2 linked regions of the Saccharomyces cerevisiae S288C genome follow. The gene in region 2 interacts genetically with the main gene of each other region. Each region holds a gene or a part of one and is shown on either strand. Other genes may lie near its edges.

The links.
Region 1: mutations in YML054C-A (region 2) and PIP2 together harm fitness more than expected from each alone (negative genetic interaction), as found in Saccharomyces cerevisiae (one large-scale study listed by BioGRID).

The regions. Positions count from the first base shown.
Region 1 is NC_001147.6:1,020,587-1,024,722, reverse strand, and holds the start of PIP2 (oleate-activated transcription factor PIP2), read left to right. Parts: upstream 1-1,510; coding exon 1,511-4,136. Other genes in the region: YOR365C (putative flavin adenine dinucleotide transporter), read left to right, coding at 1-1,262. UniProt on the Saccharomyces cerevisiae protein: The PIP2-OAF1 heterodimer acts as a transcriptional activator to induce the transcription of genes encoding proteins involved in fatty acid beta-oxidation, a response called oleic acid induction, when cells grow on fatty acids as sole carbon source.
Region 2 is NC_001145.3:165,398-175,900, forward strand, and holds YML054C-A (uncharacterized protein), read right to left. Parts: upstream 2,385-10,503; coding exon 2,226-2,384; downstream 1-2,225. Other genes in the region: CYB2 (L-lactate dehydrogenase (cytochrome)), read right to left, coding at 136-1,911; YML053C (uncharacterized protein), read right to left, coding at 3,719-4,357; SUR7 (Sur7p), read left to right, coding at 5,005-5,913; transcription regulator GAL80, read left to right, coding at 6,197-7,504; AIM32 (Aim32p), read left to right, coding at 7,742-8,677; U2 snRNP complex subunit RSE1, read right to left, coding at 8,823-10,503.

The DNA.
Region 1 (4,136 bases), on a different chromosome or scaffold from region 2:
GGTTATTTGACTGGTATGTTGTCGCAACATCTGGGTCCCCCACCGTTGTATACCGCAATAAAGAAGTTTTATCGATCAGTGTTCAAAAAAGATCCTTGAACAGTAAAATCATATCAGCGTCAAGTAATTTAAATGGTATTGAAAGTTCCCAAAAAAATGATTTATTATACACTTCAAATTTGAGAAATTCAAATGACTATCTGTCAAAAATTTTAGTATTAAGAGGTATTAAAAGGGTGTCTTACAAAGCTGGAATTGAGATATCAAATTTCTTTTTAACGGGATTTTCCTTCTTTATCATATTCATTTGTATGATAATATTGGCGTTTATTATCTTCAAAACATTTTTGAAAGTACTTCAGAAGTTTAAAGTTAAGACAATTAGATATTTACACTTCCACACACATTGGAGTGCACTTTTACAGGGGACACTATATCGAGCGGTGTTCATAATTTATTCTGAGATATCTCTTTTAGCACTTTGGGAGTTCACTCAAACAGACTCAGCAGCTACCTTAGTGGAGGCAATCGTTGTTTTCATTTTGATTACAGTCTTGTTATCATCCGCAAGCGTAAGAATATGGAGGAAGATGATCAAGTCTAAGAAAATATTTGGCCAGCCAAGCTATTTACTCTTCAGTAGCTCGAAATTCTTAAACAAGTTCGGCTTTCTTTCCTCTCAATTTAAGTCTACAAAAGTCTGGTGGTTAATGGCGACCTCTGCACACATGCTTATTAGGTCTATACTAGTGGGTTCTCTACAAGCGCACGGAAAATCTCAATCTATTGGTATCTTTTTGAATGAAGCTATCTATCTCATCCTTTTGTGCTGGATGCAACCTTACATGGATAAAACAACCAACTTCTTCAATATTAGTATCCATTCACTGAATTTAGTGAACGCATTTTTTTTCTTATTTTTCAGTAACTTATTTCAGCAGCCCATAGCTGTGTCTTCTTTTATGGGACTAATTTTCTTTTTTCTAAATGCAGCGTTTTCTTTGTATCTCTTCATTTTCATATTGATATGCTTTACGATGGCAATATACTACAAACACCCTGATACAAGATACAAACCTATTGATGATCAAAGACGATCCTTTTTGAAGGGTGAAATGGATGATGATGCGGTTTACGAATCGGTCCCGGAACTGCACGAAATGAAGAAAGCCGTTCTTGAATGCAACGGTATTCAAAAGCCGCAGATCAATAAGATTGACCTTTGTAAACAAAATTCGAACTGTGAATATCTGTATATGTGAATAAATAAAATCGTGACTAATACGTCCGGTAGGATTTGCCTTCCTGCAAAATTTCTTCTGATTTTGGAATTTGAAAGGTTGTAAGACCATCTCGGAACTAAATATAATCTCCGGAGTATCTCCAACGAAGAAAACATAAAGCGTTGTTAGGACTTAATAGAGGTCAGATAAAGAAAATCTACTGAAACGTATAGAGCGGATGAAATATCACTTTCTGATCTTGCTGAACAAAATTTCTTCGATAAAAGATGTACTTTACAGACGAATCATCACCGGCAATGAATAGAGTAGGTAAAAAAAGGAATAGACTTTCTTTTGTTTGCCAAGCTTGTAGAAAAGCAAAGACGAAGTGTGACCAGGAAAAACCTAGATGTGGCAGATGTACTAAACAAAACCTCTTTTGTATATATGATGTCGCCAGACAGGCGGCCCCTAGGAATCCGAATAAGGATGCCACCATAGCGAGACTGAAAAAGGAGATTCGTTACTGGAGAAATAAAACCGTGGATTTGACTCAAGAAAAGAAAGACTTCTACACTGCATTGAAAAGGCCGACTGAAGAATTAGCTGCTAGAAGGACATGTAAAAGCTTGCAGGAAAATAGCTTTCCAATAAGTCTTTATAAGACTCATCCCAGATTGATTATGACCAAAGTGATGAAAAGAGAAATCAACCCTTTATCTGAGAAGTACTTAATATTTCAAGATACCTTTCTGAAGACATTAATTGCCTCCGTGCTTCTAAGTTGTTCCAGAAACTCCATGATTCCTGCTTTAAATGCAGATATTAGTAGGTCGAGGACACAGCCATGCGTAAAGAATAACGTTGTAAAAATGAGAGAGGTTCTATTGAAAAACTCAAAATACGAATCACAAAGAAAATCCATTAACGAGTTTACGGACAGGCTACTACAGAGAAAGAACCCTGAAGAACAGATTGCGGTAAATAAAGTAATTTCTTTATTATACAGTAACAGGGAATCGTCATATTTAGAGGATACATGCCCCACCGAAAACGACTATTCTGATTTGTTGAAAGGCTACATCAATGAAATCGAGAAAACGCTCCCTCCCAAGGCAATCATTGAACAGTACCTCTCTCATTTCTTTGAGCATATTTTCCACCTAATCCCTTTCGCCAGCAAGGAAATGTTGGAGGAATCAATTCACACAACAGTACAGTATAATGAATTAGGAGAGGTACGACTATCGATGGGCACAACCCTTATACGAAATAAAATGGAGAATCTGTGTATCTTACTGTTAATTTTGAGGATCGCGTATATCTCTTTGACATTTATAGAAGATAAGATTGAAGATTACAGTCCGTATATTACCAAAGAGATGCTAGAGCAATATCCGATTCAAAGCGAAGTAATTTTCCTAGCGCAGCAGATACTTGCATCGGAAAATTGGTGTGCTTGTGCAAATGAAAATACCATTTCATGCTTACTCTATATCTGGTGTGCATTTGTTTTTTCCCCAACTGAGGGTGATTTTCTGTTAGAACAACCGTCGGATGTTATAATTAACCTTGTCATACTAATAGGGACGTCTATCGGATTACATCGTGACCCATCTGACTTTCCAGCCTTGAACCACCCCGAAGCTTCAGACAAAAGGCTGCTAAATTTACGAAGGATACAGTGGCTATCAATTATCTCTATGGCAACTCTGGAGTCAAGCCTGAAGGGTAGACTATTGGTCTCACCCCTTTCAATGATTGATCTTTTCATTGACGTTCGGGATCCCAATTGTGTAGAAATCTATAAAAAAAGGGTTAAGAAGGATCTAACAGGTTCCGAATCGGATGAGCAACTGCTCGAAATCCATGAGATTTTTTTCCATAGGGCTCAATTAGCATTATTCTTGTCTGATTTGAATAATATAACCATTTCATACAGTGGTTCGGTTCCAATGGATACACTAGAAACTTTACGCGTTAAAGCCAATGAACTTTTAAAAAACAAATTTCAGCTAAGAAGTGTGGATATTAACATCTACGACGAAGAGAAGACATTTCAAAAACTAACGTTCAATTCAATTTTGAATTCTATAAGTTTATCGGGCCAGATCTTGGGTAAATTAATGATGTTAAGGGCCTCAATAGCGCTGATGTTATATTTTGAAACACTTGCAATGGAGAGAAGCGAATGCTTATCCTTCTTCTATAAGTATTTTTTTCAATGTTGTGCCGACACCATTTCCCTAATCAGATTTTTTTTCCTGTATTTCAATGGCAGTTACGAGAAAGTTCTTTCTTCTTTAGTTTGTTTCATCACTACAAAAGTTATTCAATTGGCTGTTCCTACCACGATGTTTACCCTTTTGGTCATCATCATGCGGGTAGAGCTGGCCAAAAATATGCTTCTGGTCAAATGTAACGAATGCAATGCCAGAGGTGACATTAGTGACCTCCCAGAAATAAAGGAGAAAATAAAGTCATTGGACACTATCAAGGAGAACTTCGAGAGGCTTTTGTTGGAAGTATATTTACTTGCGTCCCAAAACCTGAGATTTAAATATTTCTACATTTTCAAGATGTTGACCTTGTTTGACGTATTCATTCAAAGGCTGAGGAAAGGTCAATTATTTTCTGGTTTGTTTGTCAAAGTAGACAAAGACTTGACTACCAAAAAAATTGCCACAATGTTGGAGTTGACACTTGGAATTAACTTGGACAAGTCTGACCATTTAATTGATAGACTAAAGGGCAAAAATCTCACTGTTAACTTTACCCTTGATCAATTATACCAAATCATCAAAGAATTTGACAGAATAAAAAACATCGGTGTTGCTGACCCACAAAATTCTCTGAATCCATCAAAACCAAACATGAAAGATAATACACCCACAATTGAACTTTTACTCAACT
Region 2 (10,503 bases):
TAAATATATATGTGTATATGTTTTCTTTTTTTTTTTTTTTTTTTTTTGAATGATATTAAGTTATACGAATGTTCGATAATATATATGTATGAATAAATAAAAAGTTTTTAAAGTAGCCTTAAAGCTAGGCTATAATCATGCATCCTCAAATTCTGTTAAAGTAGGTCCCTCATAAACTTCATTATACAGCACGTCGTTTGGTACTCCAACTGTTCTTGCCTTTAGTGTTGATAGATCTAAAAGATCAGGCTTCAATTCCGCAATGCTAGTAACACCTAATAGTCTCATAGACATTTCAATTTCATCTCTTAAAATTTCAATGGCTTTTTCAACACCATTACGACCATAGCATGAGTTCGCATACAAGAATGGTCTACCCAAACCAACACCTTTAGCACCTAGACATAACGCTTTCAAGACATCTGTACCACGACGAACACCACCGTCCACGAAAACTTCCAACTTATCCTTCAAGTTACGTTGTTCCAGGATTGGCATGGTTTCAGCCAGGACTTCAATGGGAGCCCTTGAAAAATCTAATTGTCTACCACCATGATTGGATAGAACCACCCCACTTACACCGATTTCTGCTGCTTTGATAACATCTTCGGTACGTTGAACACCTTTGATAACAATAGGTAGTTTTGTCTTTTTCTTCAACTCTTCTATATCTTTCCAAGTCAAAGAGGGGTCAATAAACTTTGATAACGCTCTCGAAGCACCTTGAGATTCTTCTACATTAGTTTTCTTCATCGCTTTTGGACCAGCCTTTGTATTGGAAAATTTCAGCTTCATATCTTTTTCTCTTTGACCTAAACTTGGAGCATCCACAGTGACAAATAATGCCTTTACACCCAGCTTTTCTACATTTTTAACCAAATCATCAGTGATCTTTCTATCAGAGTTAACATATAGTTGGTACCATTGAATTTGTTTATCAGAGGGTGCTGCTTCAATAATTTCCTCAGGGGAACATGAAGCCAAAGTAGATATCATTTGTGGGACTTTTGTCACACCTTGGCCACAACCTCTGGCGACATCTTTTTCACCTTCTAAGGGGTTTCCCAGTTTACACAAAGCTGTAGCAGACACGTAGAAGGGAACATCCACATGAGAACCCAACATGTCAGTTGAAATGTCTACTTTGCGTACATCTACAAGGATCTTTGGTTTGAAAAAAATCCTATGATAAGCATTATGGTTTTCTCTGTGAGTAACTTCGTCGTTAGCACCGGAGGAATAGTAGGCCCACGCTTGTTTAGTCAAAGTTTGAGAGGCCAAGTATTCAAAGTCGTAAAGGTTAATAATATTATCTAGAGGAGGTAGCAGCGATTTTAGTTGTTCTTTTCTAGCGATATCTTCCTTAGTTTCACCAGGAGCATAAGGAGGACAGACAAGTTCAGGAGGCATGGATCCTTGAAGGGGACCCAATTTTTTCTCGGGAGCTATATACTTATCGATGACATTAGGAGCATGTAGTGGTTCAAAAATAGCAGTGACATCTTTCCCGGCGTTAAACTTGATAACATCCTGCCCACCTGGATGATTTGGTAGGAATCGCGTTAAGTCGTATACGTAACCATTGATCACAACCCAACAATCATCGGGCTTGTTATGCTTGGCAACTTCAGCGGGCGAAATCTTTTGTTTATTCATATCCAGTTTCGGCTCGTTGTCTATTTGGCCATTATGCCAGTTTAGATACGCCACGGAACTAGTAGCGGCTAGAATTGCACCGACTCTCAAGGCAGTCCATGACTGTGTGCGTTTTCTTGAGTCTTGTTCGAACGACTTGGATTTTGGAACGGTAGAACCGTACGCGCGGATTGTGTTCAATCTAGTCTTAGACGCTCTGAGGATAGCAGCCTCACAGTTCTTCGAGATTTTTAGTAAAGGTTTGTATTTTAGCATTGACTACTTTTGTTTGCTTTCTTCTCTATGCGGGAACTGTATTAGCGACATAGGATGTAAGAATACGAAAAGATGCAAGAAGATTAGTCGACCAGGTACTTATATATTCACATACTCCAACTGAAAGTATTGGAGATCTAAGGTTCAGCAGTTGGTTCTTGGCGGTTCTTGTATGACATTATTATTGGTCGGGTCGTAGTTCTCTCGAACAGGAGGAGGGGGCAAGGAGATATCGGCAGGCTTTTTGCTAGCGCCTTGTTTGAAAAGCGTGGGGGTAGGTCTCCAAGCGATTATTGAGGAAGTAGTTTCAAGTATTACAGAGTCCAGGGCACAAGGGTCTTCATTATAGAGAGAGAATTTTCGTGAAAAAAATGGGCAGAATGCCACATGTTAGCAATGCAACGACTTGAGTGGGGGGTGATCCTTCCGATGTATGCGTGAAAGATCTCGTGTTGTGCAGGAAAGGGAATCATTTCGGAAAAAAAAGATGCAACAAGGAGGATGGCATGTGGATACTACGTTCTTGCGTAATATCCTTTTTGTTGCCTGTGTTAATACGTGAGCAACATTTTTTGTTAAAGTAGGCGATCAACTATTGCCCCCTGATATTGGTAGTAATTCTGCTAAAATATCGGCTGAGAAATGGTGATTCTCAAATAATTGCTGGGATTCCACTGGATATGGCCCCATTCTTAGATATATGGAACGTAGTAGAAGGCCTCTTAGAGGCTATGGGAGTCTCTCAAGAGAAAATCGACATTTTTACGTAATCATTCGTTCATTTCACTTTATACGTCATGATTCAATATCGTATTACTTTATCAAGTACCCGCGTTTAAACTTCATTAAATGACTGCGTCTCAATCTTTATGTCATCCTCCCTCCGCAAGTGACAATGTACTGGTAAAATAAAAACTAACTAACTAGATGATATTTTTAGAGTTTTATTCCAACGTTTCTCAATAGGCGATGGAGGAACAGAGTGAATATAAGAGGCTCTGTGGATTTATGGTTACCGGATTTATTTCGTAAATTCTTATTGAAGAATGGGTGAATTTTGAGATAATCGTTGGGATTCCATTTTTAATAAGGCAATAATATTAGGTATGTAGAATGTACTAGAAGTTCTCCTCGAGGATTTAGGAATCCATAAAAGGGAATCTGCAATTCTACACAATTCTATAAATATTATTATCATCATTTTATATGTTAATATTCATTGATCCTATTACATTATCAATCCTTGCGTTTCAGCTTCCACTAATTTAGATGACTATTTCTCATCATTTGCGTCATCTTCTAACACCGTATATGATAATATACTAGTAACGTAAATACTAGTTAGTAGATGATAGTTGATTTTTATTCCAACACTTATATTCTATATATCCATAACATTGTCTACATATAATCCGAGAGGTTACGACAACATTCATATAATAAGGGTAGTACTGACACTTTATTTTGAAGTAAATCAAAATAGTCACTCTCGGTAGCCAAGTTGGTTTAAGGCGCAAGACTGTAATTTACCACTACGAAATCTTGAGATCGGGCGTTCGACTCGCCCCCGGGAGATATTTTTTTTCCCTTTTTCTCCAGGCCTAGTGAGGTTTGAGTTTTGAACGTTTTATAGATAGATGTAAGGTAGCCAGAATGAGCACTTAGCCTTTAAAGTAAATTGAGTAGAGATACGTAAACAGTCGTGATAAATATGTAATACATTGTATTATTTTAAATAGGTTAAATTTTCTTTTTTTTTTTTCCATTTCATTTTCATTTTCATTTCCTGCAGTTATTTTTTTTCTTATTAATCTATATCCATGTAATCGTTAGCGATATTGTTGTTAGTCAACGCGGCCATGGCAGTACCGGGTGCTTGTGATGCAATTATACTTTGGGATGGTAGAAGATGATACTGGTGTTGTATAATACTAGCACTTCCAGTAGGACTCGTGCCTGTTATGTCGCGATTAGTGTTACCGAAATAACCATGAATCATGTACTCTTCTGTTTCAGAATAAAATTCAGATTCGTTCAGTAAGCGGCTGTTCATAGTGTGGTGCATACTAACCGGTTTCAGGGGACATATTTCGATATTTTTTTTATAATGAATATTATTGTAGGTTGCAGTATTATTGCTGTTATTATGATTATGGTTATTATTATTATTATTGTTGTTGTTGTTGTTGTTGATGATGATGTTGTTGTTGTTGTTATTAAGATTAGCACACCCGGAACCGACCGAAAACTTTGTACTTACAGAATCTCGTTTTGTTCTCTTCGATCTTTGGTAGAAAGTGTGTGTATCAAACTCGAAATGGTCATTTTTTCTTTTATTCATGATCGTATCATTATTGGCGTCGCTGTTGTATGTAGTGGCGGCATTGCTACCGGAATTGCAATTGTTTGTTTGGAACGCAGTATTGTGTTCATAGTATGAGAGCATTTCACGCAGCACACTTGAGTCTTAAATTAATGAATAAAAGCAGCCAACCCCAAGAAAAAAGAGCCCTTATCTGTTTCTGTCGCAGTCCTATTGTATTCTTCCTAACTATATAATTTTGTCAAAATGAAAAATATAAAAAAAATAATAAAGTCAGCTGAGTGGTAAAGAGAAAGCAAAGGGAGAGAAAAATCGGTTACCCAGATGGATTAGGTTACCCAGATGTCATACGTGTATCATGATTTCTAGAAATTATTACCCTGTTTGGTACCATGACAACGGATATGGCAATCTTGCATTAAGTAAAATGTCTCTAATGGGACCGTGAAGGTACAAAACAGCAATGGTCTAGGTAGTGGCATTCGAAGCTTCGAAAGCGTGGCCTCGCCTCGAGCGTGAAGTCATATTTTCTCACTCTGCACTGCCGTGCTGTGCCATGTAGCCCACTGTATGCCTCTAGCACCCCAATCGGGAAAATTGTAAACATTAGCAGGTGTCGCCTCGAGGCCCCCGATACATTTTTCAACATCTCCTCGATACTTAAACAGCAAACAAACAAGCAACACCCACGCAAGAAGATTTATTAATACCTCTTGACTCCCGTAGATATTGAAGAGACTAAGTATAGTAACGCATATCCGCACAATACTATGGTTAAGGTCTGGAATATAGTACTACGTCTGGTAGTGTTGCTGTTTTTAGCAGGTAATACCTTGCTGTTAATTTTGATGATTATATCTGGTGCCACGGACCATTACCCCGTGAACAGATTCTATTGGGTGCAGGGCAATACAACAGGCATACCTAATGCTGGGGATGAAACACGTTGGACGTTTTGGGGCGCCTGTCTACAGGATAAAGACGGGTCGGATACCTGCACAAGCAATTTGGCACCTGCATACCCCATTTCCCCAGTAGATAACTTCAACACACACATCAATGTCCCTCACCAGTTTATTTCCAAAAGAGACGCTTTTTACTACCTGACTAGATTTTCATTTTGTTTCTTTTGGATTGCGCTTGCCTTTGTAGGTGTGTCGTTTATCCTTTACGTTTTGACTTGGTGCTCGAAGATGCTTTCAGAGATGGTGCTTATCCTCATGTCTTTTGGGTTTGTCTTCAATACGGCAGCCGTTGTCTTGCAAACGGCCGCCTCTGCCATGGCAAAGAATGCTTTCCATGACGATCATCGTAGTGCCCAATTGGGTGCCTCTATGATGGGTATGGCTTGGGCAAGTGTCTTTTTATGTATCGTGGAATTTATCCTGCTGGTCTTCTGGTCTGTTAGGGCAAGGTTGGCCTCTACTTACTCCATCGACAATTCAAGATACAGAACCTCCTCCAGATGGAATCCCTTCCATAGAGAGAAGGAGCAAGCAACTGACCCAATATTGACTGCCACTGGACCTGAAGACATGCAACAAAGTGCAAGCATAGTGGGGCCTTCTTCCAATGCTAATCCGGTCACTGCCACTGCTGCTACGGAAAACCAACCTAAAGGTATTAACTTCTTCACTATAAGAAAATCACACGAGCGCCCGGACGATGTCTCTGTTTAAATGGCGCAAGTTTTCCGCTTTGTAATATATATTTATACCCCTTTCTTCTCTCCCCTGCAATATAATAGTTTAATTCTAATATTAATAATATCCTATATTTTCTTCATTTACCGGCGCACTCTCGCCCGAACGACCTCAAAATGTCTGCTACATTCATAATAACCAAAAGCTCATAACTTTTTTTTTTGAACCTGAATATATATACATCACATATCACTGCTGGTCCTTGCCGACCAGCGTATACAATCTCGATAGTTGGTTTCCCGTTCTTTCCACTCCCGTCATGGACTACAACAAGAGATCTTCGGTCTCAACCGTGCCTAATGCAGCTCCCATAAGAGTCGGATTCGTCGGTCTCAACGCAGCCAAAGGATGGGCAATCAAGACACATTACCCCGCCATACTGCAACTATCGTCACAATTTCAAATCACTGCCTTATACAGTCCAAAAATTGAGACTTCTATTGCCACCATTCAGCGTCTAAAATTGAGTAATGCCACTGCTTTTCCCACTTTAGAGTCATTTGCATCATCTTCCACTATAGATATGATAGTGATAGCTATCCAAGTGGCCAGCCATTATGAAGTTGTTATGCCTCTCTTGGAATTCTCCAAAAATAATCCGAACCTCAAGTATCTTTTCGTAGAATGGGCCCTTGCATGTTCACTAGATCAAGCCGAATCCATTTATAAGGCTGCTGCTGAACGTGGGGTTCAAACCATCATCTCTTTACAAGGTCGTAAATCACCATATATTTTGAGAGCAAAAGAATTAATATCTCAAGGCTATATCGGCGACATTAATTCGATCGAGATTGCTGGAAATGGCGGTTGGTACGGCTACGAAAGGCCTGTTAAATCACCAAAATACATCTATGAAATCGGGAACGGTGTAGATCTGGTAACCACAACATTTGGTCACACAATCGATATTTTACAATACATGACAAGTTCGTACTTTTCCAGGATAAATGCAATGGTTTTCAATAATATTCCAGAGCAAGAGCTGATAGATGAGCGTGGTAACCGATTGGGCCAGCGAGTCCCAAAGACAGTACCGGATCATCTTTTATTCCAAGGCACATTGTTAAATGGCAATGTTCCAGTGTCATGCAGTTTCAAAGGTGGCAAACCTACCAAAAAATTTACCAAAAATTTGGTCATTGACATTCACGGTACCAAGGGAGATTTGAAACTTGAAGGCGATGCCGGCTTCGCAGAAATTTCAAATCTGGTCCTTTACTACAGTGGAACTAGAGCAAACGACTTCCCGCTAGCCAATGGACAACAAGCTCCTTTAGACCCGGGGTATGATGCAGGTAAAGAAATCATGGAAGTATATCATTTACGAAATTATAATGCCATTGTGGGTAATATTCATCGACTGTATCAATCTATCTCTGACTTCCACTTCAATACAAAGAAAATTCCTGAATTACCCTCACAATTTGTAATGCAAGGTTTCGATTTCGAAGGCTTTCCCACCTTGATGGATGCTCTGATATTACACAGGTTAATCGAGAGCGTTTATAAAAGTAACATGATGGGCTCCACATTAAACGTTAGCAATATCTCGCATTATAGTTTATAAAAGCATCTTGCCCTGTGCTTGGCCCCCAGTGCAGCGAACGTTATAAAAACGAATACTGAGTATATATCTATGTAAAACAACCATATCATTTCTTGTTCTGAACTTTGTTTACCTAACTAGTTTTAAATTTCCCTTTTTCGTGCATGCGGGTGTTCTTATTTATTAGCATACTACATTTGAAATATCAAATTTCCTTAGTAGAAAAGTGAGAGAAGGTGCACTGACACAAAAAATAAAATGCTACGTATAACTGTCAAAACTTTGCAGCAGCGGGCATCCTTCCATCATAGCTTCAAACATATTAGCGTTCCTGATCTTCATACCCGTGCTCAAAATGATCAAACAAACTGTTATTGCCAAGAAATAAACGCAAGGCTGCCTTCAAAAACTGATCCATTAGATCCTCATATCAAGCTTCCTCATAGAACGCCCAATTACAATAAGCATGTTTTGCTGTTATCACCGGGTGATAGGTTTGCTCAACCATGGAAGGTAGCATGGAATCATAATTTGGATACTAATACAAATCGGCCATATAATGCCATTAGTAAATTGCGCTCCCATTTAGGTGGTTCTCCAGGAATACTAATAAATGCGGTGCATTTGCAAAATGAATTTATTCCAAGGCCAAAACAACACGATGAATGGCTTTATTTTTTTGTTATTCCTGACATGAAGCTTTATGTAATTAAGGAAACGGACATCGAGGAATTTGCATCTTTTTTAGATGAAGGAGCTATTCAAGCACCAAAGCTATCCTTCCAGGATTATTTAAGCGGTAAGGCCAAGGCTTCCCAACAGGTTCATGAAGTGCATCATAGAAAGCTTACAAGGTTTCAGGGTGAAACTTTTCTAAGAGATTGGAACTTAGTCTGTGGGCATTATAAGAGAGATGCTAAGTGTGGAGAAATGGGACCCGACATAATTGCAGCATTTCAAGATGAAAAGCTTTTTCCTGAGAATAATCTAGCCTTAATTTCTCATATTGGGGGTCATATTTTTGCTGGTAATGTCATTTTCTATAAACTATTCGGCAGAGAAAAGATGCAAAACAAGCTGGATTCATTATGGTTTGGTAAAGTTTACCCACACAACTTGAAGCTGTTATGTGAAAACTTGGAAAACGGTAAAATCATCGACGAAATGTACAGAGGTGGCATATCGATGAATTAAAACGGTTTCCTTTTAAAACAGAAATAAAGATGAGGTGAAATTTTATATTTCTTATATTTAAAGCTATCATATATTCCTTGTACATATATTTATTAAGAAAATACATTAACACGCCTTTATACTTGGTATTATTACTGTAAAATCATTACATGTAATTTGTTCTGACTTCGTTGATTGTTTGAATTATATCCTCCACTTGTACACTCTTTAAATTTTTGGCCAAAAATTCCTGCTCATTCAAGGAAAGTCTCAGGAAATTTTCACATAAATCACCATCAATAACTTTACGTACAGGGGCATAATAGCTTCTGTATTCTTGGTGGTCTCTACCTAAAATGGAACAGGAACCCTCACATATTATTTCATCCTCTATACCATGCCGTCCTTGTAACACAACACTTCCAGATTCCTCTTCATCGTCTTCCTTACGCATATTGTTATTCTTCTTTCTTGATTCATAATCTAAATAAAACGTATCATCCGCCTCAGCCATTATATTCTCAATGTTTCCCATCATAAAAACATTCCCCTTGGATAATAAGGGGATAAAGCATCCCACGGTTCCTTGTAAGCCCATATAGATACAACCAGGTCTATCAGAATTTGAAAGGCTGTCCAGGATATGGAAATCAGTGATGATATCATTAACAAAGAAGTGGTTCAGTAGTTGAAACTTGAACTTGCAATCATAAGTATTGGGTAATTTCTGCTGTAAAGTGATGACGTCTAGTGGGTACTTGATGGCCCCATTAGATAATTCGCTGGGATCATGATTTGACATGATTTTTTCGCACTCTGGTGGAGACCTTAAAGTCCACGCATTTCCATATCTATCAGCGCCTATAACAGTTGCCTCATCTAGAAATTTCAATACCGTCACATGGCGTTTTACAGAGTCATCTACGTACGGAATAAATACATTCCCCGCAGGATCCCAGATAAATAAAGTGACAGATTCATGTATATCACCAACGGCCAGTCTTTCATAATTCCACTGGTGCATAGACACAATTTTTGTTATGGATACCGGGGTCTGTGTTACGGACCTTCTTAATAATTGCTTTTTCCCCAAACCATAAAGGACAATAGTGGAGCCCATGGCTGTCAGCAAGAAGTTTTTAAACTTCAACATAGCATGTATTGGTGAAATGATTTCTGTTTGGTGAAGTAATTCAATATCAAAAGATAGTTTATCTTTGTTAACTAATATCTTGTATGTTAACAGCCTTTTGTCGCCAGCACAAATGATCAAATGATCAGCTTGTCTTGTGAAATCTATTATAGCAGCGGAAACGCAATCGATATCGTCCAGTATCTTGTATAAATGATCCGAACTGCCAAACTTTAAGCATTCACCATCAATTTGCAGTGATATACGGCATTGTTTCTTACCACTGTGATTATCAATAAACAAAATGCTTTTCGGATTATTGGGAAATGATAAAATAGTACGAGGTCGGAATGTAGATATTTGTAACATTTCCATTTCTTCTTCCATTTCATCTTCTTCCTCTTCATTGCTTTCATCTCCTCCACCGTTCTCTTGCTTGTTAACACTTGATTCATGAACGTGAAACCAGTTATCCAAAGTTGGAAAGTTGGAAACTCTGCCAATATTTAAGCGTCCTGAGCTCGATATTGAACAAACACCGTTGATTGCAACATCTGCGTTAACAAATTTGGAACAACTTAGCATGTTTTGATCCTTTAACTGCCGTATGGTCCACACATTTTTCCACGTGTAGCTTACCCATGTAGAAGAGGAATGGCAAACCACGCATGACATCCATTTAGCTCCACTACTATTTATTTCTTCTTCTTCTTTT